Linked DNA regions of Rhinolophus ferrumequinum. The protein of the gene in region 1 interacts with the protein of each later gene in a pairwise test. Links are inferred from orthologs where the notes say so. Each region holds a gene or a part of one and is shown on either strand. Other genes may lie near its edges.

Region 1 (7,524 bases):
CCCTTCAAAGCCATTTTGGAACTTTTTCTGGAATGGCCATCATAGCTGTTGTCGTATTACCCTTGATGTCCTGAATGTCATCAAAATGTCTTCCTTTCAATATTTCCTTTATCTCCGGGTAAAGAAAGAAGTCACTGGGGGCCAGATCAGGTGAGTAGGGAGGGTGTTCCAATACAGTTATTTGTTTACTGGCTAAAAACTCCCTCACAGAGGCAGTTGGTTAGCTCAGTTGGTTAGAGCACATGTTCTTAACAACAAGGTTGCTATTTTGATTCCCACATGGGCCAGTGAGCTGTGCCCTCAACAACTAGATTGAGGACGACTTGAGCTGAGCTGCCACTGAGCTGCTGGTGGGTGGCCTGATGGCTCAGTTGGTTAAAACATGTGCTCTTGAAAATGGCGACAGGACTTGGGGCTGAGCTGCGCCCTCCACAACTAGACTGAAGGACAAAGACTTGACTTGGAGCTGATGGGTCCTGGAAAAAACAGTTCCCCAATAAAATTAAACAAAACAAAACAAAACAAAAAAACCCTCACAGACAGTGCCGTGTGAGCTGGTGCATTGTCATGATGCAAGAGCCATGAATTGTTGGCAAAAAGTTCAGGTCACCTAACTAACTTTTTCATGCCCCCTTTTCAGCACTTCCACATAGTAAACTTGGTTAACTGTTTGTCCAGTTGGTACAAATTCATAATAATCCATCTGATATCAAAAAAGATTAACAACATAATTGCAACAAGTTCACGAACTTAATGTCAGACCTTTGTATTTTCACAAACATGTTTTCTGCTGTCCTACATCCTGGCTTTTGCATGTGTTGTTCCCTCTGCCTGAAACAGCCTTGCCTGGCCATACTGAAGTCATCCTTCTGCCCCCTCCCTACTAGACTGACAGAGTTGTCATGGGTCTCCTTAACCACAAGCAGCTGCAAGGGACCAGGCTGACAACAGCCCCAGGCATTGCACCCCACCCTGAAGGGAACCAGACTGCCCCGTGCCTCCCACCTCCGTGATGTTCTTGGTAACTTTTGCCTCCACATCGTATCTCTCCTCATCCACCTTGTCCACACGGGCATGAAGCTGTCGGCACAAGTCCTGGTGAAGGAAAGTGGTGTGTGTAGTTGGGGGGAGCCTGGGGACCTGGACTCTTGGGTCTGAGGGAGGAATATCTGGGGACCTGGACATCTGGTCCTGAAGGAGTAGACTGAAGCTGAATTCTGAGGAACTGAGAACAAAGCAGAACTCTAGAGCAAGGAGTCCTGAGAATCTGACAGAATTAGGGCTGGAAAAAGCAACCTCTGGATTTTTTGCAGCTGCAGGCCATATTTCTGAACTTGTGAGGGTAAGGATTGGGAGATTGGACCCCAAGGTCCTGAGCAGAAGGGGGACAATAGTGACTGTACCCAACTCCCAAGGATGCAAGATCGGACACGAGGAACCTCGGAACCCGGGCTGGGCAGGAGTCCGTGATTAGGGCCGGTACCTGCAGCTCCTGGAAGCCCAGCCCGGCTAACTCCAGAGGCTGGCACCGCGTGCTCAGAGCGCGTCCCTTCTCTCCACGCCGATCCTCCGCCTCCCGCTCCAGCTCCTGCTTCGCTATCTGTAGCATCAGGGTCTGCAGAGGGGACGCCGGGACCACAGCCCACCGGGGTGAGGGGTTCGAAGTCGCAGAGGGGATGCCCCCTCTGTCTGGCCCTCCCTCTAATCTCTGGCGGGGTCCTTGGTCTTCCAGAGACACGCCTCCTCAAGGTCCATCATTCCAAGGCCCCGCCTCTCCTATGGCTGGGCTCCCCACCTCAAAGTCACGCCCCCAAGACGCACCACTTCAAGCCACGCCCAATGACAATCCAAAGCCCCGCCCCAATTTTCAAGCTCTGCCACCCAAGGACATCTAGGCGCCCTCTCCAGGCCCGTCCGCACCTTCAGCTGCAGTTTTCTCGAGGCGGAGATCTTAGACTTTTTCTGCCAGGGTGAGATAGAGAGAGGATCAGGAAGGGGGATCCGAAGGTGGGCGGTGGGAGGGACTTAAGAACCCACCACCTCTAGTCAGGTCGAGGATTGGGCCCGCCTCCAACTCCAGCCCTAGGTCTACGTGAGGCTACGCCCCTCAGTCCCATCCACCAATCTGGGCCCAATATTCCCTAAGCAATCGTAGTTCCCCTGGACAACGGAACCCCGCCCATAGGCAGCTCTGACAATCCGATCCCAGCCCCTTGAGAACCCCCCGCCCCCCATCCAAAGCGCCTCATCCCTTTTGGCTCCGTGAATGACTGAAGTCCCGCCTCTATTAAGGACCTGGCCCCGTCCCCATTTCCCAAGGTACGAGTAAACCACCTCAGAGTCTGAATCCGGACCCCGCCCTTGCCCCGCCCGCCGCACTGGCCCCGCCCTCACCTTGGCATGCGGCTCGGTGGCATAAGCGCGGTAGTTGGCGGAGGAGCGGCGGCGGATCGGAGCAGGCGCGGGGCACGAGTCCCCGGCCTGGGTTGGGGGGACGGAGCCGCATTACCACCAGGACCCCCAGCTCCCCTGTATGCTCCAGCCTCCCGCCCCAGAGCCCTCCCGGCAGCGCCCTCCCCCGGCCCGCGGGTCCGGCCCACGCCTGCTCTCACCGCATCGCTGCTTCTGAAGGGAGAGAAACCAGGAAAGGGGGGTTAATGCTGGGCCTCTTTACTGTCCTGTCCAGTCCTTCTCCTAAGGGACCCCAGAAGCCCCTCTGACCAAGAGGTCTGACCACCAGCTCTCCCGACTCTGGTCCCAGGAGTGTGATTCCCAAACTCTTAACCCATTCCGACTCCCAGGAGTCCTGTCTCCACCTCCCTTCTCAGGCCAGGGGTCCAGCCTCCCAGCTCTCACCCCTCCCAGGGACCCAGGAGACCGGGTTACCAGCTTCACTCACTCGTCTGCCATGCTGAGACTCTAGCCAAGTGTTGCAAAGGCAGAGAAGGGCAACAGGCTCTTGGAGGGTCAGTGAGGGGGCGTCCGGGGTGACCTTGAAGACCCTTGGGACTTCGTCGCGTCTGAGCAGCTCAAGCCTCACTGAGGACACTGATAAAGGGCGAAGGCAGAGACTAAATATACTGCTGCCCTCTCCTCCCTCTGCCCAGGATGCGAGATAACAGGGCACGTGAGGGGTGGGATGGGCCATGCTTCAGCTGGATCACCCGTCCACATTGGTGGACTGGGAATCCAGCCCGGCCCCTTAGCTTTGACCCAGGAGTCCAGGCCCCCAGCCCCTCCTCCTTCAGACCCAGGAGTCCAGGCCCCCAGCCCCTCCTCCTTCAGACCCAGAAGTCCAGGCCCCCAACCCCTCCTCCCTCAGACCCAGGAGTCCAGGCCCCCAGCCCCTCCTCCTTCAGACCCAGAAGTCCAGGCCCCCAGCCCCTCCTCCTTCAGACCCAGAAGTCCAGGCCCCCAACCCCTTCTCCTTCAGACCCAGGAGTCCAGGCCCCCGGCCCCTTAGCTTTGACCCAGGAGTCCAGGCCCCCAACCCCTCCTCCTTCAGACCCAGGAGTCCAGGCCCCCAACCCCTCCTCCTTCAGACCCAGAAATCCAGGCCCCCAGCCCCTCCTCCTTCAGACCCAGAAGTCCAGGCCCCCAACCCCTCCTCCTTCAGACCCAGGAGTCCAGGCCCCCAGCCCCTCCTCCTTCAGACCCAGAAGTCCAGGCCCCCAACCCCTTCTCCTTCAGACCCAGGAGTCCAGGCCCCCGGCCCCTTAGCTTTGACCCAGGAGTCCAGGCCCCCAACCCCTCCTCCTTCAGACCCAGGAGTCCAGGCCCCCAACCCCTCCTCCTTCAGACCCAGAAATCCAGGCCCCCAGCCCCTCCTCCTTCAGACCCAGAAGTCCAGGCCCCCAACCCCTCCTCCTTCAGACCCAGGAGTCCAGGCCCCCAGCCCCTCCTCCTTCAGACCCAGGCGTCTGGGCTCCTCTCCCCTCACTAAACTGCAATCTCCATGAGGGCAGGAGCTTTGTCCTTCGTTGTTTTTCATCTTATGGTTAGGTTCAGTGCCCCAAAGCTGTCAGCAACTCAATGTATTTTGTTGATTTATTTGAGGATCCAAGTGTGGGGTGCTCAGGCACTCAAGCGACAGCACCAGGAAATCCACTCCTAGTCTACTTGGAAACCCAGAAATCTGATGTTGGCTCTCCTTTTCTAACCACTTCTGACCCCTTCCTTGCCCCAACCTTGGGGCAAGGAAAAGACTGAAGACAGGAAAGACACACAGACACACAGAGAAGAGGACCAGGTTCTCTTTACTTGACCACGTGGGTGCTGACCACCCCCAGGAGAGAAGACACCCCCAACCCCAAGTTAGGAATGGAACAGCTGGGAACCACATAGAGGGCGGTAGACCCAGGGCCAAATCTCTAGGCCGCGTTTAGAGTCTCAGGAGTGGAGTGTAGAACTCTGAGAAAACAATGTACAATTGTAGGGATAGAATATAGAATCCCAGGAATGGAATCTGAAATTCAAGCCTTTGGGACTGAAGACCTGACTTTAGAAGTTAGAGATGGGGGACTTGGTTTCTGGGGATCCAGTCAGACTCTGGTTTTGAGGTCTCACTCCCTGTGGGTGGAGCCGAAGCCTCAGAGAATGAAACCTGAGATTCTGAGGGCAGCTGGAGGGGCACAGGGGGTGGGGTTCGGCCTTGGAGGGGCTGGGTCAGATCCTCAGAGAGTGAGTCCCTTGCCTCATGGGGTGAGACCACGACTTCAGGGAGCAGATCCACGACTCCAGGGGGCGGGACCAGGACTTCAGGGATTGGAGGCCCGGGTTCGGCCACTGAGTCAGTGCAGACCGGAGCAGAGTCCTGGCACTTGTAGAAGCGCGCGAAGGTCTCAGACGGCCTGGCCCCGGGCTGTGGGGCGAATCCGGCTGCCTGAGCTAGCTCCCTAACCCGGGCGGTAAACGCCTGCAGCTGCTCCTGCCGCAGGTCCACCAGGTACCTGAAATCGGGAAATAGCGTTAAGAGACACGGTTTTCCGCCCCCAGCCTTGTTCCCTGCCCTACTCTCAGCTGCTGGCTCACCGGGCTAACTCCACAATCAGATGTCCACCAGGGGCCACACAGGCCCCGAGCTCAGGGCTGAGAAGATGGGCCATCCTGCGGAGGGAAACGGGGTGGACTGAGGCTCAGACTTTCAGGTATTGAGGGAGGAGGGGCTGGTACCTGGACTCCTGGGTCTGAGGGAGGAGGGGCTGGGAGAGGGAAGTCTGCAAGCCCCCCACTAGGCCCTCTTACCCACAAGCCACGTAGAGAAGCTGGAACTGTCCCTTGTAGCAGGTCTTGTGGTGGAGGGTCTGGGAAGAATGGAGGGGCAGGAAGCAGATAGTGAAGGATGCCGGGCCCGGGGCTGCTGGGGAAGATGGCAGAGTTAAGCAGACACACAAAGCCTCCTCGAAGCCCTTTCTCATCCGTTCTTTTAGGTGGATGCCTGGGAAATTTTGGGATGTTGGCTGGGTAGGCACAGACATTTTATAGACGAGGCAACTAAGTAAGACTCAGGAGAAGGGAAAAGAGTGAGCCCTCATGGCCGCACAAGGCACCCAAACAACGGGGAGGGCTAGATTGGGGGACAGTTAGAAGGAGGCAAGACCAGATTTGGAGAGGGGGGGCTTTCCTGCAAAGGTGAGCTGGGAGAGACCAGAGCCTTATTAGAATGTTCTCATCCTCTTAGGCTTCCCAGGAAGGCTTAGAATTCTACTGTTGGAGTTCAGAATGCTAAGAATGGTGTCAGGACTTAGAAAAGGGAGCCAGAAATACAAAGAGAATAGAGAAAAAGAGACGGACAGTCAGGAAGGGGAGGTTACTTGTCCAGCCATTGGAAACCGTTATCTGTCCACGCTGGTATTTGAAACACCTGAAGTCTGGAGCCCGGAACGGGGGGTCCAGGTCCCACTCTCTCCGGGAGGATGATGTAGCCACTTTATCACCCGAGCCGCCTCCCCTCTCAAGGGGAAGAACTGAGTCCGCCGCTTACCAGGCTCGCGGGTTCCATCCTCTTCGCCCGGCACCTCCACGAGGTCCCCCTGGGAAGCTCTCGGACGCCCCCAGGCGGTCAGCGCTCGGAACAGCTCCGTCACGTTGTGCAGAGTGATCTCTCCGGCAGTCTGTGGGGGAATGGGCGTGACCGCGGGGCGGGGCTTAGAGAATGCCATCCCTCCCACCTCTCCATCCCCAGAGCTAGCTTCTACGGTAGGGGACCAGCTTGGATTCCCGGACTGTGTTTAGAAAGTGGAGAGGGATGGGGCGTAAACCGTGGAGGCGGAGCCTATGATTTTGTGGCGGGGCCTAGAATACAGAGGGCGGGGCCTTGCGAACACCACCCTGATCCCAGCACCCGGTGCCACACACTTTGATCGGCTGCCCGTTGCTGGTCCGCAGGAGGTTCTCATCGTCCGCTTCGATGCCAAAAGCCACGAAGGGCCCCGTGGCGATGTCCCCCCAGTACCCTCGTGCTGCCACGCGCTCCCCGCGCTGGGAAAGCAGGAAGAGAGGAGGCGGATGAGGTCGATCCAAACTCCTGGTTGCCCCAAAAGAAGGAGCTTGCCAGGGCAGGGAGTGGACACACACATGGCTCAGTAGGCGACCGGACGCCAGGGTCCTGTTGGGCACATGGTAGGCGCTGGAGTCTCTGAGTTCAAAGGCGACGCCTGTGTCCCTCCAGCGCCGGAACTCGCGTATGTGGATGACTCGGGCCTGCGGAGGGGAGAAGGAAAGAAAAGAAGCCTCAGTGAGTCCGGTAAACGGGCCAACAGCCCTTCCTCTCAAAGACCCAGGAGTCCGGGCCCCCAGCCCCTCCTCCTTCACACTCAGGACTGAAGGGCCCCAACCCCCTCACCCCGCGGTCGTGCAGCTTCATGTGCAGGTCCCAGTCGCTGACACCGCGCCGGGCGTCGTAGCGGGAGCCCAGGTAGTGGCGCAGCCTCGAGTCCCAGAGGCGACTCATTGGGAAGGCCTCCGGCCCCTTCTCCCCACCGGCCCAAAAGCGGAATACCGCCTCCAGAACGTCCCGTTCGCGGAACTGCGCGGCCGGCATGCATGGAGAGAAAGCGAGAGGGAGGGGCTGCAGGGAGAGCAGCCTCTCCTGCTTGACCCTCCCTTTCATCCCAGAGCGTGGGCACGATTCTCCCGTTTCTCAGATAAAGAAACAGGCTCGGAGAGCAGAAGCCAACCCCTAGGCCAAATCCCACAGTGGGAGCCATGGAGCTGGAGTTCCAACTCTCCAGCTCCTGACCCTCTCCATCAACGGAAACCTTTTTGGACCGCTCATCTCCATTCTTTCCGCGGCCACCCGGGTCCCAGGCGGTGATGGATGGAGGCTAGGCGGCGGCACCTTGAGTGCACCCAAGCTAATCCAGGGCAGCTGCTCCGCTAGGCTGTCGGGCTCCGGTACCAGATGTGCTAGGCGGTCGGCCTGGGCGCGCACGAAAGCGGCCACTGGGGGGCGCAGCAGCGTGTTACCCCACACCTCCAGGAAGGCCTCGCTCCTCTCTGCCGGGAGAAGGGACAAAAGTAGTG
Region 2 (7,916 bases), on another chromosome or scaffold:
TATCCACATAGCCACATTCCCCCCAAGGAAGTTGGAGTCGTCTTTACTTTCTCTTAGCTAGACTTGTAGACTCACAGCTCAGGAATTCCTGGACACTCACTCACCACGTACTTGGAGGGGGGGTCCTTGACCACATTGGCGCTGGTCACTTCGAAGAGCAGCCGCTGGGGTACCAGGGTGTTCCGGGACTTCTTCCAGAAATCCTGCAATTGCCGTGCCAGGTGCTGACTACCCCGCTGCCCATCAGGTGGGGGGTTCTGTTCTGCATGAGTACAGACCAGTCACATCAATGGGCCCGGAGCCAGGATCACATAAACCACGTTCTATGACCTTACTCATCCTCCCAACAAGTGACATAACTTTATCCCCATTTGTCATAAAAGGAAACTGAGGGCCAGAGAGGGCCTGAATGCCCAACATCGTGCCTGGCAGATAAGTGCACAGTAGGCACTAACTTAATATCTGCACCCCCAAGACATCCCTAGCACATTACCACGTTGTATCCCTGACTCTGGTACAGCTAATGTCTGCAACAACTCTGAGAAGGGAGTGATTTCCCCCATCTGACACTAGGGAGAACTTGGTTCAAAAAGGTATTGTGACTCTCTCAAGGTCACACATTCAAGAGGTGGTTGGGACACTTCAAAGTGTCAGAATTTCGGAGTTTGGGCAAGATCAACTCAGAGCCCTGTGACCATCTCGGGAAGGTGGCCGTGGTGGAGGCCTAATCGAGCCCCCAAGGTTTCCGCCTTCGTCCTCCGCACTCGCCTGTGTCTTCTCCCGACGCCTCGTCCCCACGGGGCAGTGGGTCCGGGCCGTCGTCCTCGTCGTCGTCCTCGTCCTCGTCGTCCGCATCCTCGGCGCTGGTGAAGCTAAGGGTGCCGCTGAGACGGGAGGACAGGCCCTCGGCGTCGTCGTCCTCCAGCTCCGAGCTCTCCGGGAACTGCTCGACCTCGGGACCGGCCGCCGCCTCCCCGAGGCCCTCGCCGGCCAGAGCGTGCCGCAGCCGGTGCAGGAGCCGCGAAGCCATGGCACCCTAGGGGGAGTGCGTGACTGTGGGTCCTGAGCCCTGGCGGAAGACCCGGGCCCCGATCGGGAAGGAGGAGGGGAGGGGTCCAGGTTGGGGGAGGGAGGGACGCCGCGGAGGCCCCGCCCCTGCCCGGTGGGGTCCTGAGAGTCCCGGGACTCCTCTCGCATCCCCCTCCCCTCACCCGCACAGCTTGGGGCCGCGCACTTCCCGGGAGGGGCCGGGACTCTACTACCCACGTCTCTGTCTCCCCCTGTAGCGTCTCGACCTCCTGCGTTCAGCGGAGCACTCGGGGACGCGTCGCTGCCTAGGGGTCCCGGTGCAGCCCCCGGCCGTTTACAGAGGCCGGGCCGGCTCTGCCCGGCCCAGCAGCTCCGGGCGCCGCTCCTGCCGCTTCCTGCCGCCGCCCCGCCCCCAGCCCCGCCCGCTACCCGGAGACGCCCGGGAATCCCAGGCCCTTTGCTCTAGGAGAGACTTGGGAATCCTGGGTAGGCCTGGGCGAGCCCCAGGCCTCCTGCGGTATCGTCTCCAATCCGACGGGGCTCACACCCTCCTTGAATCCTCTCACCCATCCCGGAGACTCAGGCTGGACCCAATATAGCCCCTAGTTTCCACCCAGCACTCTTGAACTCTCCAAAGTCATTACGTGACAGTGGGAAACCCATCTTTCCGGTGAGAAAACTAAGGCCAAGAGAAGACCCGTGATCTGGGTTGGAATCTGACCGCGCTGAGCCTAGGTTTTCTCATGTATAAAAGTACAATTAATACTAGTACTAATTTTGCAGCTTTTGTAAGGACCGTAGTCCAGTGCCTGGCACAGAGCAGGGATTTACAGAATGATCAGTCACATGATTATTGTTTCTACAGTGTTCATAGGCTTTTACAATTCCACTTGAGCCTCACATAAAGGAAGTAGGCAAAAGGGTAAGAAACCCAGAGAGACTGAGTTACTTGCCCAAAGTCACACAGCTTGCCAAGAGTTTTCTGAGTATGGGGCCTAATAGCCCAGGTTTCTGAGTTCTTTCCCTGTTCTTTTCCTAAGCAGCAGGCCCGCTAATTTTGAGCAACATCTATGGAGGGCTGTGTTTTATGTGTTATGGGGATGGTAGCAGCAGGTGAAGAAGAATTTATTGTCGCTGCCTGTGTCGGAAGGCCCAGATATTGGTCCCTAACAGGGCAGATATTGCTAGTTATACAACCGAACAAATAAAATCGCTCTGATAGTAGCTCCCACCCGTTTTGAATGGCACAGGAGAGGGGGGTAGGGGAAAATAGCTTTGAATGGAAAACACATTCCCTGCCATCCCACGTGCAGAGGGGGCGGGGCTCTCATTTCTTGAGGTTCCATTGAGTTTCCGTGTACATCCTGTTCTAGGCACTTTGCATGGGGTCACATTTCACCCTCACAACATCCTAGGGAAGGGGTTGTTATTGGACAATGACGGTCCATTTTCAAGATGAAGAAACTGAGGCAAATTGACTTTCCCAAAATCCACAGCTAGGAAATAGGAGAGCTTGGAATTAAGGCCAAGTCTGTGTAATTTCAAAGTTCTAACTACTCTTCATTCAGCTTACCAGCATGGTGTTGGGGCAAAAAAGACACATCATTCATTCATTCACTCAACACTCACTCATTCACCAAACATTGGCTGAATATTAAGTTGTACTTTGGTATATGCCTCACAATCTGGGTACAAAGCAGGTATTCATAAAACCATGGGTTGTCAGAGCAGGAGGGTCTCTCAGAAATCTGGCCTAGCACTTCCATTTTCCAGATGGGTAGTCTGAGGCTCAGGGAGGGGAAAGGGCTTACCCTGGGACACACAAACAGGGCCAGAACAAGGAGATCTCCTGATGTCCTGTATTGCACTACTCTTAGACTCTGTATGGAGAGATGGTCATCAAATTCCTGCTTGCATGCATTCAGTAACAAGAAGCTTTTCACCTCCTGAGGCTGCCTGTTCCTGTTGTTCTTCAACGGTGACTTCCTTCTTGTATTGAACCAGTAGCCATTCAGTTCAGTTATTCTTACAAAGCACACAATCTTTATTGAACCCTTGCTAAGTGCCAAGTGCTGGGTACTGGGCAATGCAGTGGTGACTAGGACACCGCCTCTTGTCTGTGGAACTCAGAACGGGTTGTGATCATGGGGCACGTGCAGTGTTATGACTGAGGAAACTACTGGAGACCACCTTAGACTCTCTTGGCCTGGGTGTAGAGGAAGAGGGATCCTGGATGAAGTAATGCTAAAGCTGAGAAAGATAGAGAAGTAAGCAGATGAAGAGCGGGAAGATGGGAAGATCCTGGCAGAAAAAAACAGCACGTGCGAAGGCCTGGAGGCTATAAAGGGTGGTGTTTTGAATTGTATTTTCATTGGACCAAAGCAAAGCAGCATGCAAGGTGGGGAGGGAAGGGGAGTGAGATGGGAGTGGTCAGTGGGACCTTGCTTGGCCACACTAAATGTGGATGTTATCTATGCCCCTGAACAAATTAAATAACAAATCAATGAACAAATGATTGCTGAGAGTTCCACACTCTGTTCCAAAGGGATCAAGTGGTTCCAACGTTTGTGTCCAAATTGGAATCCCTTGAGTGTCATCGCCCCTTGGCCCTCTGTCTGGCTTGGAGAGGCCTTATTTAGCCTGGCCTGGCTCCTCTGAGCTTTCCTTTGGGAATGTCTATATATAGGGGAAGAGGGCAGCCCAGTTGCCACTGTCCATCTGCCTACCTTGGTGTCCAGCCCCCTTTCACTGGCCCCAGACTCTGTGCTCAGTTGTCTCAGAGCTCTTTCTGTTGCCTTAACCATTGTCATGAGTGTGGCCTACTTCCCAACGCCCAGGCTGGACCCTGTGGATTCTCAGGCTAGGACCCCTTCAGACGTGACTTGATCTGCTCACCCTTTTACTCTCCAGATGGTCAGCTGAGCACCTGCAGACTTCACCCCCAAGCTCCAACAAGGGGTCCGCTGCCCCTTTATCTAATTAGACAAACTTCCTCTGGTCCTCTTCCTCCCCCAAAAAGTAAATCTCCAAATCCTTTCCCTGGAGAAGGTAAACTTCAGAGAAGAATCTGCTTTCAATGTTGATTTCTCCTCCAAGGGCACATCCTGTTTCCTGGACCCGGCCGAACAATTCTCCGTCTGGATGGGTCCCCCAAGAAGTGTCTGTCCCAAGTTCCCCTCAGTCAAGATTAATACGAATCACCAATCTGACTATAGACCTTTATGATTTACAAAGCTCCCCAATAAAAAGGGCATAACAATAGTTGGCACCCCACAGGATGAGTACTAGATGAGCTCTGAGATAATGTGGTTAAAATGCTTAGTACAGTGTGTGCATGTTGTAGAGGTTCAATAACTGTGGCTGTCACTTTCCCTTCCTCGGGTCCTGTTCAAAGACAGGACATTCCATTTGCCAAGCATCAACAGTATGTAGCTGGCACAAGCTAGGTGACTTATACTTGGGCTCCTGTGTACCACAGTCTCTCTGTGAGGGAGGTTATGACTGTGCCCTTCTCACAGACAAGGAAACAGGAGCTCAGAGCAGCATTGCCACCTGTCCAAGGTTACACAGCCTGCCGAGGCAGGACTTAGATTTTGGGTTTTGGACTTCAAGGTTTGTGCTTCCCCATTCCACCGCGTAGCCTCACTTTTCTCTATTCTGATTGTCCTCACCCATCTTGGAGCAAGTGTGCTTCTTGGAGGGGGCTCGCGAAGGTAGTGGAGCAGGGCGGGTTCTCCTCTAAGAATCTAGGACGTCAAGGCCTGCCACCTGCTCTGAGGCTTCAATTTCTCTGCAAGGGCCCTTGGCTAAATTAGGCAATGGGCTAGGACTCCGGGAGGAGGGGGGACTCACTGACCCCAGGATCTGATTGGCCAGGGCATCCAGTCCTGGGGAGCAGGGAGGTGGGAGGATAAGGTGCCCCTACAAATCCCAGGGCCTGGAGCGGGCCAGGGCATCTTTGGGTGGTGGAGTGCAGAGGAGGTGACCAGCAGCAGAGGAGTCCCTGTGACTAGGAACCATGGTAAGGACAAGAAGGGACTTCATCCCTTTGCTTGCTGGAGGACGCCTGGGCTCTTTAAAGCCAAATCCGAGTGCTCTGTGGAACAGTAACTTGGATGTTTGAAGATGGAATGTGAAGGTTCCTGCAACCCAGGTGTCTAGGAGGAAGCCTGGGAGGAAAGCCTTGGACTTCTCTTGGAAGGCAGGGCGGGGATGTCCCCGGCATTGGCCCTCAAGGTGTGCAGATTTCCTGCAGACCTTCTAGGACTTCCAGCAATGTTGGTCTTTGACCTGTGAGGGGGGTGTCTTAGCTTGTGTCTACCTTAGCTTGGTAGAGATGGGGACCCTGAGGGCCAGAGTGAGTCACACCAGCGAACCGGTGGCAGGGATAGGCTGGAGAAGCCTGGCCAAACCCTCCTGCCAGTGGGAGAAGAAAGTCTCCTTTGGAAGGTGGGAGGCCTCCAGGGCCTCAAGCTCCAAGGGTTATGAGAAGGGGCAGAAGATGACAGGCCAGAGTTAGAGAGACCCCAGCCTCCCACAGAGGGGGTCTGCTTTGGAGCTATCATCTTTCTCTGAGATCCCCCTCTCCACTGCACTTCAAGGAGTAACTAGACCCTGGAGGCCAGCTGCTGTTGCCCTCACCAGCCTAAAATTAGCTTGTCCTCCTGGCACAGGCAAGGAGGAGGGGGGCAAGGAGGAGGGCCAGCCACCAGCCAGAGGAACTTCTTGGGTGCCTCAGCCCTTCCTCACCACCAGCCACAGTCCAAAGCCCCCTATCCAGATGGCTTGGCTTAGATGTGACTGGAAACCCCACGGGAATCTTATTTTCACCCCTGCAAGGCCCCCATCATGTTCTGCCTGGCATGAGTGGCCTTTACTCTAATGACTGAATCATAAGAAGGAAGCTTAAACATCTCCACTTCTGCAAGTTCCCAGAGGGGAAGGATGAGGTGTCTGCTTGGTGGTCCTAGTGCTTGGGTTATGTTCTGACACTTAGTGGGTGCTCAGGAACGTGGTGTTGTGTGATTTATTTGAGAACAAACATTTATTGAGCACCTATTAAAGTACGAGATACAGTTAGGAGCTAGGGAAAATGGGGAAATCACGCTGGACTGGTGCTGGCGCTTTACAAAGTCCTTTCACAGCCCTAATTTCATTTCATCCCTGAAAAGCTGCTCAGAAGAGGTGAGGATATGAGGGGACATCAAGTGACCCCCCCCAAGGTTACTGGGGGGGTTCCTGACTTGACTTCTGATTGACAAGCGAGAAGGCCTTGGGCATAATGTTTCCTCTCTAGTTATCCAAAACTGGGGTCCGGGGCTGTGGGGGCAGGCAGAAGGGATGGCTAGTTTGGAGTTGTTCTTCCTGATGACCAAGGGGCACTTACAGAGCTGGCGCTTGAGGACACAGGGGTTAAGGCAAGAATTTGCCCCAGGGCTGCCCCTTCTGTCATCTGACTCTGTGTCTTCTGCAGACAGACCAGCAGGCCGAGGCCCGGTCCTACCTCAGCGAGGAGATGATCGCTGGTGAGTGGAGTGGCAGGCTAACTGTAGGGTTGATGTCTGCTGGGGGGATGTTTGGTATCTGGGCAGGGTGGGAAGGTAGATGTGAGGCTGACAGTCCAGCCAGGCTTACCTCAGCCCTCTGCCTTCCTTCACTTCGCAGAGTTCAAGGCCGCCTTTGACATGTTTGACGCTGATGGTGGCGGGGACATCAGCGTCAAGGAGTTGGGCACGGTGATGAGAATGCTGGGCCAGACACCCACCAAAGAGGAGCTGGACGCCATCATTGAGGAGGTGGATGAGGACGGTGAGCGGGTGGCCTCCCCAGGCAGGGTGCGAGGGGGAATCGGGAGAGGCGGGCAGCCAGGTGTCCGGGACTCAGGGTCACTCACCACCTGCTCCCTTCAGGCAGCGGCACCATCGACTTCGAGGAGTTCTTGGTCATGATGGTGCGCCAGATGAAAGAGGACGCGAAAGGGAAGAGCGAGGAGGAGCTGGCCGAGTGTTTCCGCGTCTTCGACAGGTGCATTGGGGGCCTGGGAGCCGAGGCAGGCGCTGAGCAGCCGGAGACCGGTCCGCAGGGCGCGAAGGGTTCTCGGGGTGGGGGTGCTGGGAGTGGGGTGTGGAGTGTGGCGGGGGCGGCGAGCCCCTGCCTGCCCTGAGTCCCGCCCTGTCCCTCGGCCCGAAGGAACGCAGACGGCTACATCGATGCGGAGGAGCTGGCTGAGATCTTCAGGTCCTCTGGGGAGCACGTGACAGATGAGGAGATCGAATCCCTGATGAAAGACGGGGATAAGAACAACGATGGCCGCATTGACTTCGACGGTGAGGGCCACAGGCCTGGGGAGCCGGGACAGAGCCGCGTGGAGCGCATCCAGGGCGGGGCACCCGTGCCGCCGGCACCCACGCGGGCGGCTAGCCTCAGGGGCGGGGCGGGGCTGGCCTGACCGGGTTCCTCCCGCGCGCCCGGTGTCGGCGGGCGCCCTGGCCCGGCCTCACTCGCCGCCCCCTGACACTGCGCCCCCGGCGCAGGGTTCTGCGTCCCGAGGGGACCCCTGACCGCCTGTCCCTCTCTCTCCTTCCCGCAGAGTTCCTGAAGATGATGGAGGGCGTGCAGTAAGAAGTCGGCCCTCGCCCACCGAAACCGCGCCACCCTCGGGTGACGGGGCTTCTCCCCGCTCCGTGCCATTCCCCGCCCGGGAGGGAGGCGCGGTCCCTTTCGGGATCCTTTTCTAGAAGGAATAAAAGCAATCGTTGCAAAGCGCTTGGTCTGAGTGAGGGAAGGATCGAAGAGCGGGTGTCAGGGGCAGCTTGGCTGGGCAGGGCGCCACCCCGGCTGGCGCCACCCGAGCGCCTTCCGGCTCCTAGAAGAGGCGAGTCCAGCAG

Evidence for each region. The genes of interacting proteins can lie anywhere in the genome.
Region 2: the proteins of TNNI3 (region 1) and TNNC2 interact in binary tests that used the Homo sapiens proteins (3 or more experiments, as listed by UniProt). The two-hybrid records come from large-scale screens. The link is inferred for Rhinolophus ferrumequinum from reciprocal best matches to the Homo sapiens genes TNNI3 and TNNC2.

What each region holds. Positions count from the first base shown.
Region 1 is NC_046298.1:48,372,383-48,379,906, forward strand, and holds the start of TNNI3 (troponin I, cardiac muscle), read right to left. Parts: upstream 3,065-7,524; 5' UTR 2,911-3,064; coding exon 2,900-2,910; intron 2,626-2,899; coding exon 2,613-2,625; intron 2,482-2,612; coding exon 2,395-2,481; intron 1,963-2,394; coding exon 1,921-1,962; intron 1,616-1,920; coding exon 1,484-1,615; intron 1,096-1,483; coding exon 1,006-1,095; intron 1-1,005. Other genes in the region: DNAAF3 (dynein axonemal assembly factor 3), read right to left, coding at 4,508-4,949, 5,032-5,106, 5,245-5,359, 5,984-6,113, 6,358-6,480, 6,577-6,702, 6,845-7,027, 7,340-7,497. UniProt on the Homo sapiens protein: Troponin I is the inhibitory subunit of troponin, the thin filament regulatory complex which confers calcium-sensitivity to striated muscle actomyosin ATPase activity.
Region 2 is NC_046306.1:12,303,817-12,311,732, forward strand, and holds TNNC2 (troponin C, skeletal muscle), read left to right. Parts: upstream 1-4,914; 5' UTR 4,915-5,047; coding exon 5,048-5,050; intron 5,051-6,502; coding exon 6,503-6,554; intron 6,555-6,693; coding exon 6,694-6,837; intron 6,838-6,938; coding exon 6,939-7,053; intron 7,054-7,218; coding exon 7,219-7,355; intron 7,356-7,618; coding exon 7,619-7,650; 3' UTR 7,651-7,791; downstream 7,792-7,916. Other genes in the region: SNX21 (sorting nexin-21), read right to left, coding at 105-262, 769-1,030. UniProt on the Homo sapiens protein: Troponin is the central regulatory protein of striated muscle contraction. Tn consists of three components: Tn-I which is the inhibitor of actomyosin ATPase, Tn-T which contains the binding site for tropomyosin and Tn-C.